4 linked regions of the Saccharomyces cerevisiae S288C genome follow. Changing the gene in region 3 together with the main gene of any one other region gives a genetic interaction. Each region holds a gene or a part of one and is shown on either strand. Other genes may lie near its edges. The genes, in order: ERS1, AAT1, ICS3 and YLR363W-A.

Region 1 (2,939 bases), on a different chromosome or scaffold from region 3:
GCCGGTAGAGATTCCGTCAAACTTCCGATGTTCGACTTGTTCCTGCTTGGTTGTGCCCCCGATGGTCATATCGCATCACTCTTCCCTAACTTCCAGGACAATCTACGTGAGAAACTTGCATGGGTGGTGCCCGTGGAGAACGCTCCTAGTGGGCCCTCGACCAGAATTTCGCTGACTATACCTGTAATCTGCCATTCTCACAGGGTTACTTTCGTTGTCGAAGGTGCAACCAAGGCGCCCATCATCAAGACCATTATGGAAAGGCCTGAAAAGGGCCTACCTAGCAGTATTGTCAACGAAGGTGCTGCTGGTCGTGTATCATGGTTTGTTGACGACGATGCTCTTACGGACGTCCTCGTCACCAAAAAAAAGTATAAATTCCACCAAGGTTTGTCTATTTAAACCATGCATGTGTGTACATACATACATACACACATACATACATACATACATATATTTATGTATATTTATGTATATATATATATATATATATATGCGTAATTATGCAGATTTCTCCTTGTGTGCTACAGCGGGTACTCTGACGCCAGATCATGGCCTCGAGATCGATATACAAACCACTGCATGATAAAGATGAAGTTGAATATTAAAGTTACCATTGACAGTCCCACTTTTCCAAAATTTGTCACGAACGTATCCAGACTGAAACCTTGATCGTTAGACAACTGCCAAATCAATTGGAGCAGCGAGGCGATACCGCCAGTGACATCTAGAAACACACCCTGAATGGGGAAACAATCCATAGATTTTCTTGTCGAGTTATGCGTCACTTGTGGGATGTACTTGATTAGTGACATCGATATTTTGAGTAAAAACAAATTGTTGCAATACGCCAGAGTTCTTGAGTTATGCCAATCGTACCAGTAGTTGGAGTACATAAATTGTACGGTTAGCAGTGAAAAAATGGCCAGTGATGCGAGTAAAATCCTTAGGTACCATGGATTCATCTTGCGGTGACCTTTACCTGGAAATCGCCAGATTCTCGCTCCAGCTACCACCTGGGTCAATAAGACAACATTCATCAAGCACCCATGCAGGCAATACCAGAAATCAAATTGCGTCAACTTGGGCCTGCCCAAGTCAGACTCATCACCCGTCATTTTCCAGCAGTACAATTGCAAAAATATGGATATGACCAGGTAAGAGTAACCTGCCGTATTTAACATGACAAAATCCATCGATATCGCGCTCGCTGACTTATGGCGCCAATTGGTGATTATCGGTGGATACATCGATATCGACCATGACGTAACATACACGATACCTAGTATATCGTCTAACGACACCATTTTGCTTCGCGTTTGCTTTTGTTTGCTTTTAGTTTTTCTTCCCTTGTTTACATATGGAAACTCACCTTAAAATTTCAAGATTATCAAAAAATATAAAGGATTCCGCTATTAAAGGGCAATACCACAACCTCAAACCAAATCACCTAAACCAAATCAAAGATGGAAGCGGAAAAACAATCTGATATTAAGGGAACCATTGCTTTCGATACTCACGGTAACGTTATAGAGTCTACCGGCGTGGGCAGTCAAAGGATCGAAGATATCGGTGATTTATCGAAAGTTACGCTGGATGCAGAAGGTTTTGCTCAAGTTCAAGGAGATTCGCTACTCGTACACCTGTACAAACGCAATGATATCACTTTAGCTGTATATACCAGCGCTCAATAAATTCTTTCCTTCCCTTTCGACATAGCTATGTCTGTATACTATCTAAAAACTAAATATCACAATAAACAAAGTACTAAAATAAACACCCATTTAAATAAAGCCAGATCCTGACCCTCCAAATCCGCCGGATCCTGAACCTCCAAATCCGCCAGATCCAGGACCAAATGGTTCGTCGTACTTGGATCCAGGCATCCATCCTGGCGGCATATCTTCCCGTCTTGGGGCAGGTCTTCTATTTGGATCGAAAATCATACCGCCTTGGCTACTTGGATTCCCCAGAGGATTGGGAAGCCCTCCAGACCAATCCGGATGGCTTGTGCCAACAGGATACAGATCACCATCCGCATACCCTCCTGCTGGGTTAGCGAAGCTCGGTTCAGTTACCGTAAGTCCGGGATATGGGTTCAACGGTGCTGTTCCCTGGTTTTGTCTTGCTTGTGCCTGGTACTCATCGTCAAATTTTGGCATGTCCGCACTACCTGCAGTTTGTCTTTTAAGTTGTGTCATTATAGGTTTCAGGTCTGGCTCCACAGGTAAGCTTTCTCTTTCTAGTGGCCATTTCAATTCTGTGGGCAATTTAAAATCGCTGTAACCCACCACACATGCCATGGTGATCGACGTACCATGACGAATAACAACAGTATACTTGTCATTGTCATCCAGAGTCTGAATCACCACTAGCTCAGAGAGAAACGATGTTGAACCCTTCTCACTGGGAGAATCTTTAATGCGAAAACTCACTTGGCATGATTTGGTTCCCTCTGTATGGCGTGACACCACCTCAGTTTTACCGATGGACTCCAACACTAGTTCTGCTACCAGTTCAACCTTATTCTCAATCATTGTTTAACTCTTGCGTTACTATGGTGGTATTATTGATGCTAATACGGGTTTTTTATGAAAAAAAAAGGATAACAAACTTATATAAACTTATATAAAAACATATACAATAAATGATCTACAAAGGGTAGGAAATAAAAAATAAGGGAGAAAAAAAAATACATGCGTAAGTACATTAAAATTACAGGAAAAATCTTACTTTAGTTCTGATATTTCACCATCGCGATACACCAACCCCATAACGTTTAGGAACAAATTCAAATCTTGGTATAGTTTCTCTTTATTATAAATAATAGATTTTAACTCTGTGTCTAATTCTTGAGACCTCTGAGGTAATACACTCAATTCTTTCTCTTTCTTTTGTAAGGTCTCCGCCTCGTTAATAGTGGCAAAGATTTCATCACG
Region 2 (3,712 bases), on a different chromosome or scaffold from region 3:
TTCATTATTCGGAAATAAAAGCCAATTGTCAAATAGGAACATATCTGGTGGAACAGCCACTTTGGAGTCATCAAATCCTGACCTGCCTACAGCCTTACCATTAAGCGTTCCGGTGACTATCATTGATAAAAATGGAGAGATACACAAGCTTCATAACGATGATGCAGCTATAAAAGATAAGTCGCATGACCGTCACGGTCACAGTAAATTCGGTAGGAAACTGAAAAAAATTTTTGGCAGGAAATGATTTGAAAGAAGAAAACATAGGAAACCTAAAATGAAATGTAAGGATATGATGCACTGCCACCGTAATTAAAATAGTTGGCTAGCGCTAGCTTTCTTTTCATTTAAAATTTAATAACTAGTTCGATCACGAATTAATCCAATCTAGTTATCTGAAAAGTGTATATAGAGTAGATAAAAAAAAGGTTTATTAATTATTACAAAAAATTATTATATTCTATAAATTATTGTGTGGCAAAATGAGAAGGGAAAAGTAATAAAAAAATAAAGACAAAGGTGAACTGTAAGGTGAAAAAATTATGCGAGTTTGTCCATTTTCGAGACTGCTTCAAGAGATTCACATAAGTAATCAACGTTCGAATCATTGACTCCGCTAAGCGACAATCTACCATCACCTGTTAAATAGACGAAGTAATTGTTTCTCAATATTTCGACTTGCTTTGGACTAAACCTTGTATAGTAAAACATACCGTGCTGTTGTGCGAAATTTACAAGATCCGGCCACCCTAGACGGTCAAACATCTCCTGTCTGACGTGATGCAATCTCTGAACCATGAAATCAACATCCTTGAACCATTGCTGTTTCAATTTGAAATCTGATAATACTACATTTACCACACGAGAACCGTATCCTGGTGGAGAAGAATACATACCTCTGACAATCTTTTTTAATTGGGAGTCAATATTTTGCTGCAATGAGTTTTTCTGTTGTAGAGGGTTGAACTTTCCATTGTTCGCAGTTGCCGGCGTGATAACGCTTAAGGAACCAACTCGTTCACCATAAAGGCCCATGTTCTTGGCAAAAGATTGACAAAGAAAGATACCGTTACTCCAATTTGGATATTTATTTACATTGAGACATAGCCTCAATAAATATGCGTCCTTTAGTAAGTTACCAGACTCTAAACCCTGATAAGCCATATCAACAATGGGTACCATTTTTAGCTCATATATAGTATCTATAATCTTTTCCCATTGCTCTTTAGTTGGGTCGAGACCTGTAGGGTTGTGACAACACGCATGCAAGATTATGCAAGGTGGGTTCTTATTGTTTTCTTGCTGGTTGTTATATGCAAAGGTTTTCAATTGCTCAATCCATCCGTCGATGTCTATCTGACCGTCCTTATAATAGGAATACCGGTAAATATTTTCAAAACCATTGTTCTGAAAAATGTTCTTATGATTTGCCCATGATGGGTCAGGTATCCAAATATCTCTTGAAATAAATAATGCCAAGAATTTAGCTGCTACAGCTAGGGCGCCTGTACCACTCAAAGTCTGAACAAAGCTGATTCTATCATGGGCTAAATAAAATGGCCCAAACTGCGGACATGATTCCTTGAACAAAAATTTCATAACGTTTTCCTGAAATTCTTTGGAACCTGTTATTGGTAAATATGAAAGATTCTTATTCAACTCTAAATGAGATTCAATCAATTTTTGAGCTTTTGCAACGGAGGGAAACGTCGTCACTTTGCCCCAACCATCTTTATATATTCCTACGGTCAGGTCAATTTTGTTAACATTTTTTACCTTTTTGAAGTGTTCAGATAACCCCAAGACTTTATCTGGAGGTGCTCTTGGTACTCTACTAAGCGATGACGTGTAGTAGGGCCTCCATAGACTGCAATTAGTAAGCCTCGTCCTCAACATCAAGTCTTTCGGCAGTGAAAAACGGATAGTAATTTTCAAATGAGAAGGGAAAACGCACTCAATAGTATGCTATCGTTCAATCCGCTATCGTCTATTCTGTATTTTTTTTTTCTTTTCAATTGCGACGGTTAGCAATTAGATAACCAAGACAGAGAGAGCGAATACTTGCTAGCAATTTATATACGTAAGCGAAAAATGTAAAAAAAAATATGAAAAATGCGGCATCCTAAATATTGGAGCAAAGCAGAATAGTGCTTCCATACTCCAAGATGCCATTTCCGTCGATATTACATCTGACAATAGGAAGATATGCGAGCTATGACTCCAACAATCACATGAGACGGCGTGCAAAACTCATGGAAGCCATCTTCCGCATCCGAACAATATGAATCATCGACGATGGTCGCATGCAAACGCCCTTTAAAAAGTGAAATATTTAAATATAAACCAATTAGTTACAGCAAGTCATTCGTTACTGGAAGTGAAAGGACTTTGATTACGCAAGGCCTTTTCAACTAGAAGTTCCGAATTTTCCATAAACTTCTCAACAACATCTTTGGTCAAACCAGGCGAAGGTAAAATAGCATCGCCTTTGTTGCTGAACATTGTACCACTGCGTGATTCGATAGCGGGGCTCGCAATCAGGGTGCATATTGTTTTCGCATACGTCTCTGCGCTTTGACAGGTCCAGCTGATTATCCATTCTGTAATGCGGCTGAGGTAGGTGTCACTGCCAAGAAGATTATTACGAATGTTCGTTTTGATCAGCCCAGGGTTCAAACCGAAAGTATCTATATTCGTGTATCTGTCTTTAGCGTCTATGACCAGACTTTCATTGGCTGCCACAGTGTTCATATGTGTAGCGTAGGCACTATACTTCTTTTCATCAGAATTCAAGTCATCTGGGTCTCCCACCTGACCATTTCCTGGAAACCCTGCTATGAAAACTTTTGGCAAATCGTCTTTTTTTGTCCTACTAATTCCTAATCGCTTCGCCACATCATGGAAGATAATGTATCTACTCAAATAGCTCACTGCCATGTCTTTTTCCAAACCCTCACTTGTAGCTTGTCTCTGGCGTGATGCAAAAATACCCGTAGTGAAAATCAGATGTGTTAACTCCTCGTAGGGAATTTCATCACTATGAGATATACGCTTGCATTCTGACACTAAACTTAAATCAGCCTTGACAAAGTTAATTTTATCTTTTAGGTCCTCGTCCCTAAAAGTTTGCCCGACAACAGTAACCCTGGCATTTCTTTGGGCCAGCTCTCTACTTATTGCACGTCCAAGTCCACCTGTGCCACCAATTATGGCCACATTAAAACGACTAAAATCAATGTCATTGATATTTTTTCTTTCCCAACTGACGGTGGGATCCTTTTTCCAGAACATCCTGCTAAATGCGCCAATATACTATTATTAGTTTTTCCTTGATACGTGGTAATATTCTGTTTGTTGGTTCACCTTTTCATTCACTTGAATTGTTTTAAATTTTGTATTTATACCTCTGCCGATTATTCCTCCCCTAATTGATGATTGCAGATTATGTAATATATATACATATATGGACGAGGCCCCTAATTGAACAACAAAAATAAAAAGTGTAAAAACATGCTAGTCTCTATATTGATAAAAATACGTATGATGTCCATATAAACTATACGTCATGCAGCTGAAGGAATCTAACTGAATACTTAATAGGTTTCTATAAATTACAAATGTTTGTATTATTTACGCCATCACGCTCACCTTCTTCCCCATCGTCCATTAGAGAATCGGTTTTTCTTTGGCAGTTTTAGTCTTCTGAAGTTAT
Region 3 (2,575 bases):
TTCATCGGCCCTATATAGCAATTACATCCTTCCGTTGCTGGGTCCCTGCCTAGATACCATATTTGTTGTTGAATTAACCGCGGGAACCCGCAATATACGAAAGACGAACACAAGAGAGCAAGCACACACAGCTAGTGCGTAGCGTTGCTAGCTATATTGCCATGGTACCTACCTTTCACCTCCTTGTTAAATCCATAAGTGGACGGTTTTCCTAAACCAGTATTTATCAGTTCTCGAGCACGCAGAGAAAAGTAAACGAAGCGACCTGCATTGCGGTAACTATAAACACCCAGCCGCCTCCAGCAGAACCAGCCATGTGCGAAGAAAAACAATTTTTCGGCCAAACTTACCAACAATAGCGACGCGTTCCTCACATCGTTGGGTTTTTTTCGCCTCTCTTCAAGTTTCCTATACCCGAGCTTAACACAACACAACGGACCCTCTTAATTAGAGGTATCCTCCGTTCTTTTCTTCCGCTTTCCTAATCGAGATACCAGAGCACGGAACAGGACCCTAGTGCATCGGAGAGGAGATCCGTGGCACGCTCACTGCGCCTTTCACTATCACCGATTTCGTAATTCGAACAGGAGTATTTCGCTGCAGGGGAATTACTGTTTGTAGACGAGGGAAAGCAATTATCAGATACATGCCAGGGATAGCGTTCAAGGGGAAAGACATGGTTAAGGCAATACAGTTTTTAGAAATAGTCGTTCCTTGCCACTGTACGACCTGAACTTTACTCAACGAAAAAAAAATTGGAAAAAAAATAGTGCATAACGTTGCTATTAACAGATGTAGTACTGATATGTCCCTGATTGGTGAAGAGTCAGAATGATATAAGCCTATTTGATATGTACGTGTACGTATTCGAAAATAAGATTTGTTTCTCGTAGGGAGCGATATGTGCATTATGTTACCCGTTCCACATGTTTTGAACTTTTTTTCTTTTTCATGGTAAGCGTCAATAATCAATTTGAATAACTAGTGAAGAGTAGCTAGCACGATGAAATAAGTGCCGGAGCTGATCGAATCCCTAGTCTCGGTTCGCCTGAAACAGAGAGAAGTCGATTACTGTACACCGTGCCTCCTTCTATGTACAAGCTACAAGTGGTCTTGGTGCCTCCGAGTCTTCAGGCGACGATGCCAATACAGTTTGGCTACGGACCAACCATCGCCGAATCTTCTCAATTGTTGCCAAACAGAACTAATATGGCGCAAAGCGCCGGAGATGCCTCTTTGCAGTATGCTAATCTGAGATCTGCCAATGTGAGTTTCACGCCAAGCTATTTCAACCAGTCTAGGTTTAGGAAGTTTCTTTTGTTTACCAAGCCGACAAACACGCTGTTGAACTTGAGTGATGAAATCATCGATAAGTGTGAAAAAATGTACCCGAGTTTGCAAGAAGACATTGAAATTTTGAGTTTGCAAGATAACAGCGGTTGTGACCTTGATCCGGATTTTTTGGTAAAGGACGTTTTCAATGTAAATAATATCGTAAGAGTTATATTGAAGAATGAGATAGATCTGGACGATTCCGCACCAGTGTCACTTTATAAGTCGGTAAAACGATCCAAGTTGAACAACGGGTCGCCCCAGTCGGTGCAGCCGCAACAACAAATCCCGTCCTCTTCAGGTGTTCTTCGGATTGCCAAGAAGAGGCCACCTACAGGAACCACGACAACAACAACCATTCGTAGTGCCACTAATGGATCCATGAGGGTTTCTACCCCATTGGCTAGGCAAATTTATCCTCCACCTTCTTCGAAGATCGTCTCCAACAACTCAGATGACGAAGACGAAGACATTGGTGAAAGATCCTTTTTGCCGCCTCCAACGCAGCCTCAGTCACCTCCCATAAGAATTAGTTCGGGCATTGACGCAGGTAAAAAAATAAAATCAAGCATCGTCGAGGAAGATATCGTGTCCAGATCAGCAACCGTGGATCCAGATAAAACAAAGCAGCAACGTCTATTGTCCGGAACTCCTATAATGTCCACCATGACTCCAAACAGAGTTACTCTTACCGGTCAGAGAGTGGTTTCTGAACACGCACATAAAAACGAATTGGTTTTCTCTGCTTCAGCTTCTTCCTCTTCATTTGCTAATGGTGGCACAGCTGCTGTCACTGCTCAGGACATTAATAGGAAACCACCCGTAACCACTCCAAGAATAACATCAGGAATGTTGAAAATCCCCGAGCCAAGAATCTCAGAGATTGAAAAAGAGTTAAAAGAGGGACCTTCCAGTCCGGCCTCCATTTTACCCGCTAAAGCTGCAAAGATTCCAATGAAAAAACCTTACTTGGAAAATGGCGAGAACTACGAATCCGACGATAGCTCAAGTAGCGAAAACCAAGAAACTCCTGAAACAGAACCACATTCAAAGGCTTCCTTGCAACGTAGTCAAAGCTCCATCGCAGATAATAATGGCTCTCCGGTGAAAAATAGTCCTCTCGGTGATGCCATGCCACACAATGTGCATTTAGCAGAACTTCCCAAGGCAAGCAATACCTCGATCACCAAATCTTCAAATGGCGAATCCTGGGGAAAGCAACAAGAACATCAACCACCAAGAA
Region 4 (2,836 bases), on a different chromosome or scaffold from region 3:
GAAGTGAACCAATATCAAAAACGAAAACTTTGTCCTGTACATTCAACTTATTCCAAATGGAATTAGCATAGACGCAGTCGGGGCACCAGCTGGCGGATAACTGGAAATATGGATGAGATTTGATCATCTCTTCAGCTTTAGTAACAAAGGCAGACATTATTTGATGTTGTACTTATTCTATAAATATGCGATATTTACTCCTCTTCTGGCCAAACTGGGAATACATAATTTTACAACACTTACGTCTGCTTAAATAGCAAACCTGTGTCGATTTTTTTTACAAACTGTGGCATCAACACTTAATTCACCATATTGTTAAATTTCTCGCGGGAAACAAAAAAGCAACGCATTTTTTCTATTGGATAACTTAGAAGTTACAAAGCTAATATACAAACACTAGGATCAAATTGGACTATAAAAAATTTGATGAGATGTACCTAGATAGTCCTTACCCGAAAATAAATACCTTTCAATGATGGGCGAATCTTATTCACTTGAAATCATTTAGAGTTCTTCTTACCTTTTTCCAACTCCTTTCTAGTACCTCTCAACAACTCCAAATGCCCGACTTTACTCGCAACTAATCTTTCAGTGGTTTCGGTAAGGGAAGAGCTCTTTTTCAATTTCTTCAGATGTTGCAAAGATTTCTTTTTTGATTTCAATTGCAATGGGGCAGCTTTTCTCAAATTTTTTTGTTTCTTTGTGACCCTACGGGGGTCCTTGGCTTTCTTAGTAACTTTAAGTGGTTTTTGAGGCATATTGTAGCTTATGGACTTTATGAATACTAGTTATCTTTACAAAAGGTGCAAGTAATAATACCATCTCATCGTTAATAAACTGATGTATACTACTATTTTCCAAAAGAACCTGAAAAATTCAATACCTTCGTAAAACGTGACGACTTTCATAATCTCAGAAATTGATTTGAAGTAACAATGAAGAGCGCTTTAATTTAAAAGTTAGTGTAGTGGTGTTATAGAAGAATATTACACCTGCTAATATCATTCATTCGTGAAATATAAGCACCTTCTTTCTTTCCAATTTTGGTCTCCTCAAAAAGCAGGTTAATGACACAATATAATTTCATTATAGATGCTTCAGCTTTTGAAAAGGGTCTAGGCAACATCAAGAGGTGGTGCTCGGACTGTACAGAAGCTGTGACTTTGAACTTTTATATTCCAACATTCACATTAAATGAATTGGATTTCCTTCAACAAAGGCGTAAAAGTTTTGCAGCTCGAGAATCCTTGAAGTTTATCGATAGATTAGATGATTCTAAATTTGCTAATTTGAAAGTTTTTATCGAATTTCCCGAAGTTTTAGACATTATTTTATGGTCAGATGTAATGGAACATAATGATAGTTCTGGAAAGATTAATATTGCAAAATTGCCTAAGAGATTAAAGAATTTGTTGAAAAGTTGTATTTACAAATGCTACCTAGAAGGAAATGAGGGGCTACATTGGTTTTTAATTAGTGAAGATCCTCAAATCCGGGAAATGGCCATGCAATGCAATATTCCTTCCTGTTCAATTGTTGATGTAGATTCAATCTTGTCCAAGGACATGAATGATAAATCATTTAGAGAAAGTGAAAAATTCAATAATATGATGCTAAAAAATGGCACTAAGGAAGAAAGCGAAAACGGTAGAGAAATTATCAGGACTAACTTCAATAAAACAGTTTACGCTTCTAGAGGTACAGGCGAATTGTGGTCCCCATAAAAACAAGCATTTTTCAAATATTTCAATATCATTTTTGATAGATGGCTTTATCTTATGAGAAAAATTGGTAACAGATTATTCATGTGAATGAAACTCTATGGATTATTTCCTTGCTTTTGTCTATCTACCTCCTTTTCCTAGAGCAGGTTATTGAGAAGATATCAATGGTTTGATATCACCTCGCAAAGAAAGGCCTGTTTCTTCGTGCTTCCATCTGTGCGGTCGGATTTTTTTATCAGAATTATCTTACTTGATTTTATTCCAGGGGTATGAGAATCAAATACCGTCATCTAGTTTGGTCTTTTTTTCACAATTGTGATTTATGATTACTTAATCAGCGTAATTGAAAAAAAAAAACCGGTAAATAGCAGATATATTCAATAAATGTCACTAAATATGATATATATGTATTATTTGATAAAAAATCGGCCAGAGCACTTTAGTGCCATAAAAAGAATTAATAAGTAGCCCTTTTTCAAATTATGTGTGCATCCAGCCATGGATGCTGCAGCAATTCAAGGGCACTAGGCCTGTATTGATAATCCAACTCAAATGCCTTTCTTAAGAAATTCTTTCCTTCTGACGTAGCCCAGGAAGGTATCTCGGGGGTCGTGTTTGTGCCTATTTTGAAGATCGCTTGCATTTGAGAAAAATCTGGGAAAGGATGCTTACCGGTAAACATTTCAATGACAACACATCCTGTAGACCATATATCCGCTTTAGCAGTAGTAGCGGTCTGTTTGACCACCTCTGGTGACATCCAGAATACGGAACCTTGCAAAGAAGCTCTCTTATTTTGTTTTTTATTCAAAGGTGATAATTTTTTTGAAATACCAAAATCAGTAATTTTTACGCAACCTTTGATATCAATCAAAATATTTGCACCCTTGATATCTCTGTGAATAATGTTCTTCTTATGCAAATACGCAACCCCAATCAGTATTTGCCTAGTGAAATTAGTAATCAGTGATTCCTCAAATGGACCGTAATTATTCAGCATGGAGGAAACCGAACCCCCAGGAACGTATTCAAGAAAAATATTTAAATTTCCGCCTTCTTGAGAAGCACCATAATAAGTAACAATGTTCTCATGATGTAACTCCTTCAATAAA

What was found.
Region 1: mutations in ICS3 (region 3) and ERS1 together harm fitness more than expected from each alone (negative genetic interaction), as found in Saccharomyces cerevisiae (2 studies listed by BioGRID).
Region 2: mutations in ICS3 (region 3) and AAT1 together harm fitness more than expected from each alone (negative genetic interaction), as found in Saccharomyces cerevisiae (one large-scale study listed by BioGRID).
Region 4: mutations in ICS3 (region 3) and YLR363W-A together harm fitness more than expected from each alone (negative genetic interaction), as found in Saccharomyces cerevisiae (one large-scale study listed by BioGRID).

Annotation. Positions count from the first base shown.
Region 1 is NC_001135.5:247,509-250,447, forward strand, and holds ERS1 (cystinosin-like protein ERS1), read right to left. Parts: upstream 1,308-2,939; coding exon 525-1,307; downstream 1-524. Other genes in the region: SOL2 (Sol2p), read left to right, coding at 1-402; EGO2 (Ego2p), read left to right, coding at 1,467-1,694; FUB1 (Fub1p), read right to left, coding at 1,785-2,537; deadenylation-dependent mRNA-decapping factor PAT1, read right to left, coding at 2,730-2,939. UniProt on the Saccharomyces cerevisiae protein: Cystine/H(+) symporter that mediates export of cystine, the oxidized dimer of cysteine, from vacuoles/endodomes.
Region 2 is NC_001143.9:235,720-239,431, reverse strand, and holds AAT1 (aspartate transaminase AAT1), read right to left. Parts: upstream 1,897-3,712; coding exon 541-1,896; downstream 1-540. Other genes in the region: SEG2 (Seg2p), read left to right, coding at 1-247; YKL106C-A (uncharacterized protein), read left to right, coding at 2,166-2,285; YKL107W (putative short-chain dehydrogenase/reductase), read right to left, coding at 2,362-3,291; SLD2 (Sld2p), read right to left, coding at 3,645-3,712. UniProt on the Saccharomyces cerevisiae protein: Plays a key role in amino acid metabolism. Important for metabolite exchange between mitochondria and cytosol.
Region 3 is NC_001142.9:294,153-296,727, forward strand, and holds ICS3 (Ics3p), read right to left. Parts: upstream 910-2,575; coding exon 514-909; downstream 1-513. Other genes in the region: YJL077W-A (uncharacterized protein), read left to right, coding at 647-733; NET1 (Net1p), read left to right, coding at 1,093-2,575.
Region 4 is NC_001144.5:851,383-854,218, reverse strand, and holds YLR363W-A (uncharacterized protein), read right to left. Parts: upstream 759-2,836; coding exon 501-758; downstream 1-500. Other genes in the region: glutathione-disulfide reductase GRX8, read right to left, coding at 1-157; NMD4 (Nmd4p), read left to right, coding at 1,068-1,724; mitogen-activated protein kinase kinase kinase STE11, read right to left, coding at 2,200-2,836.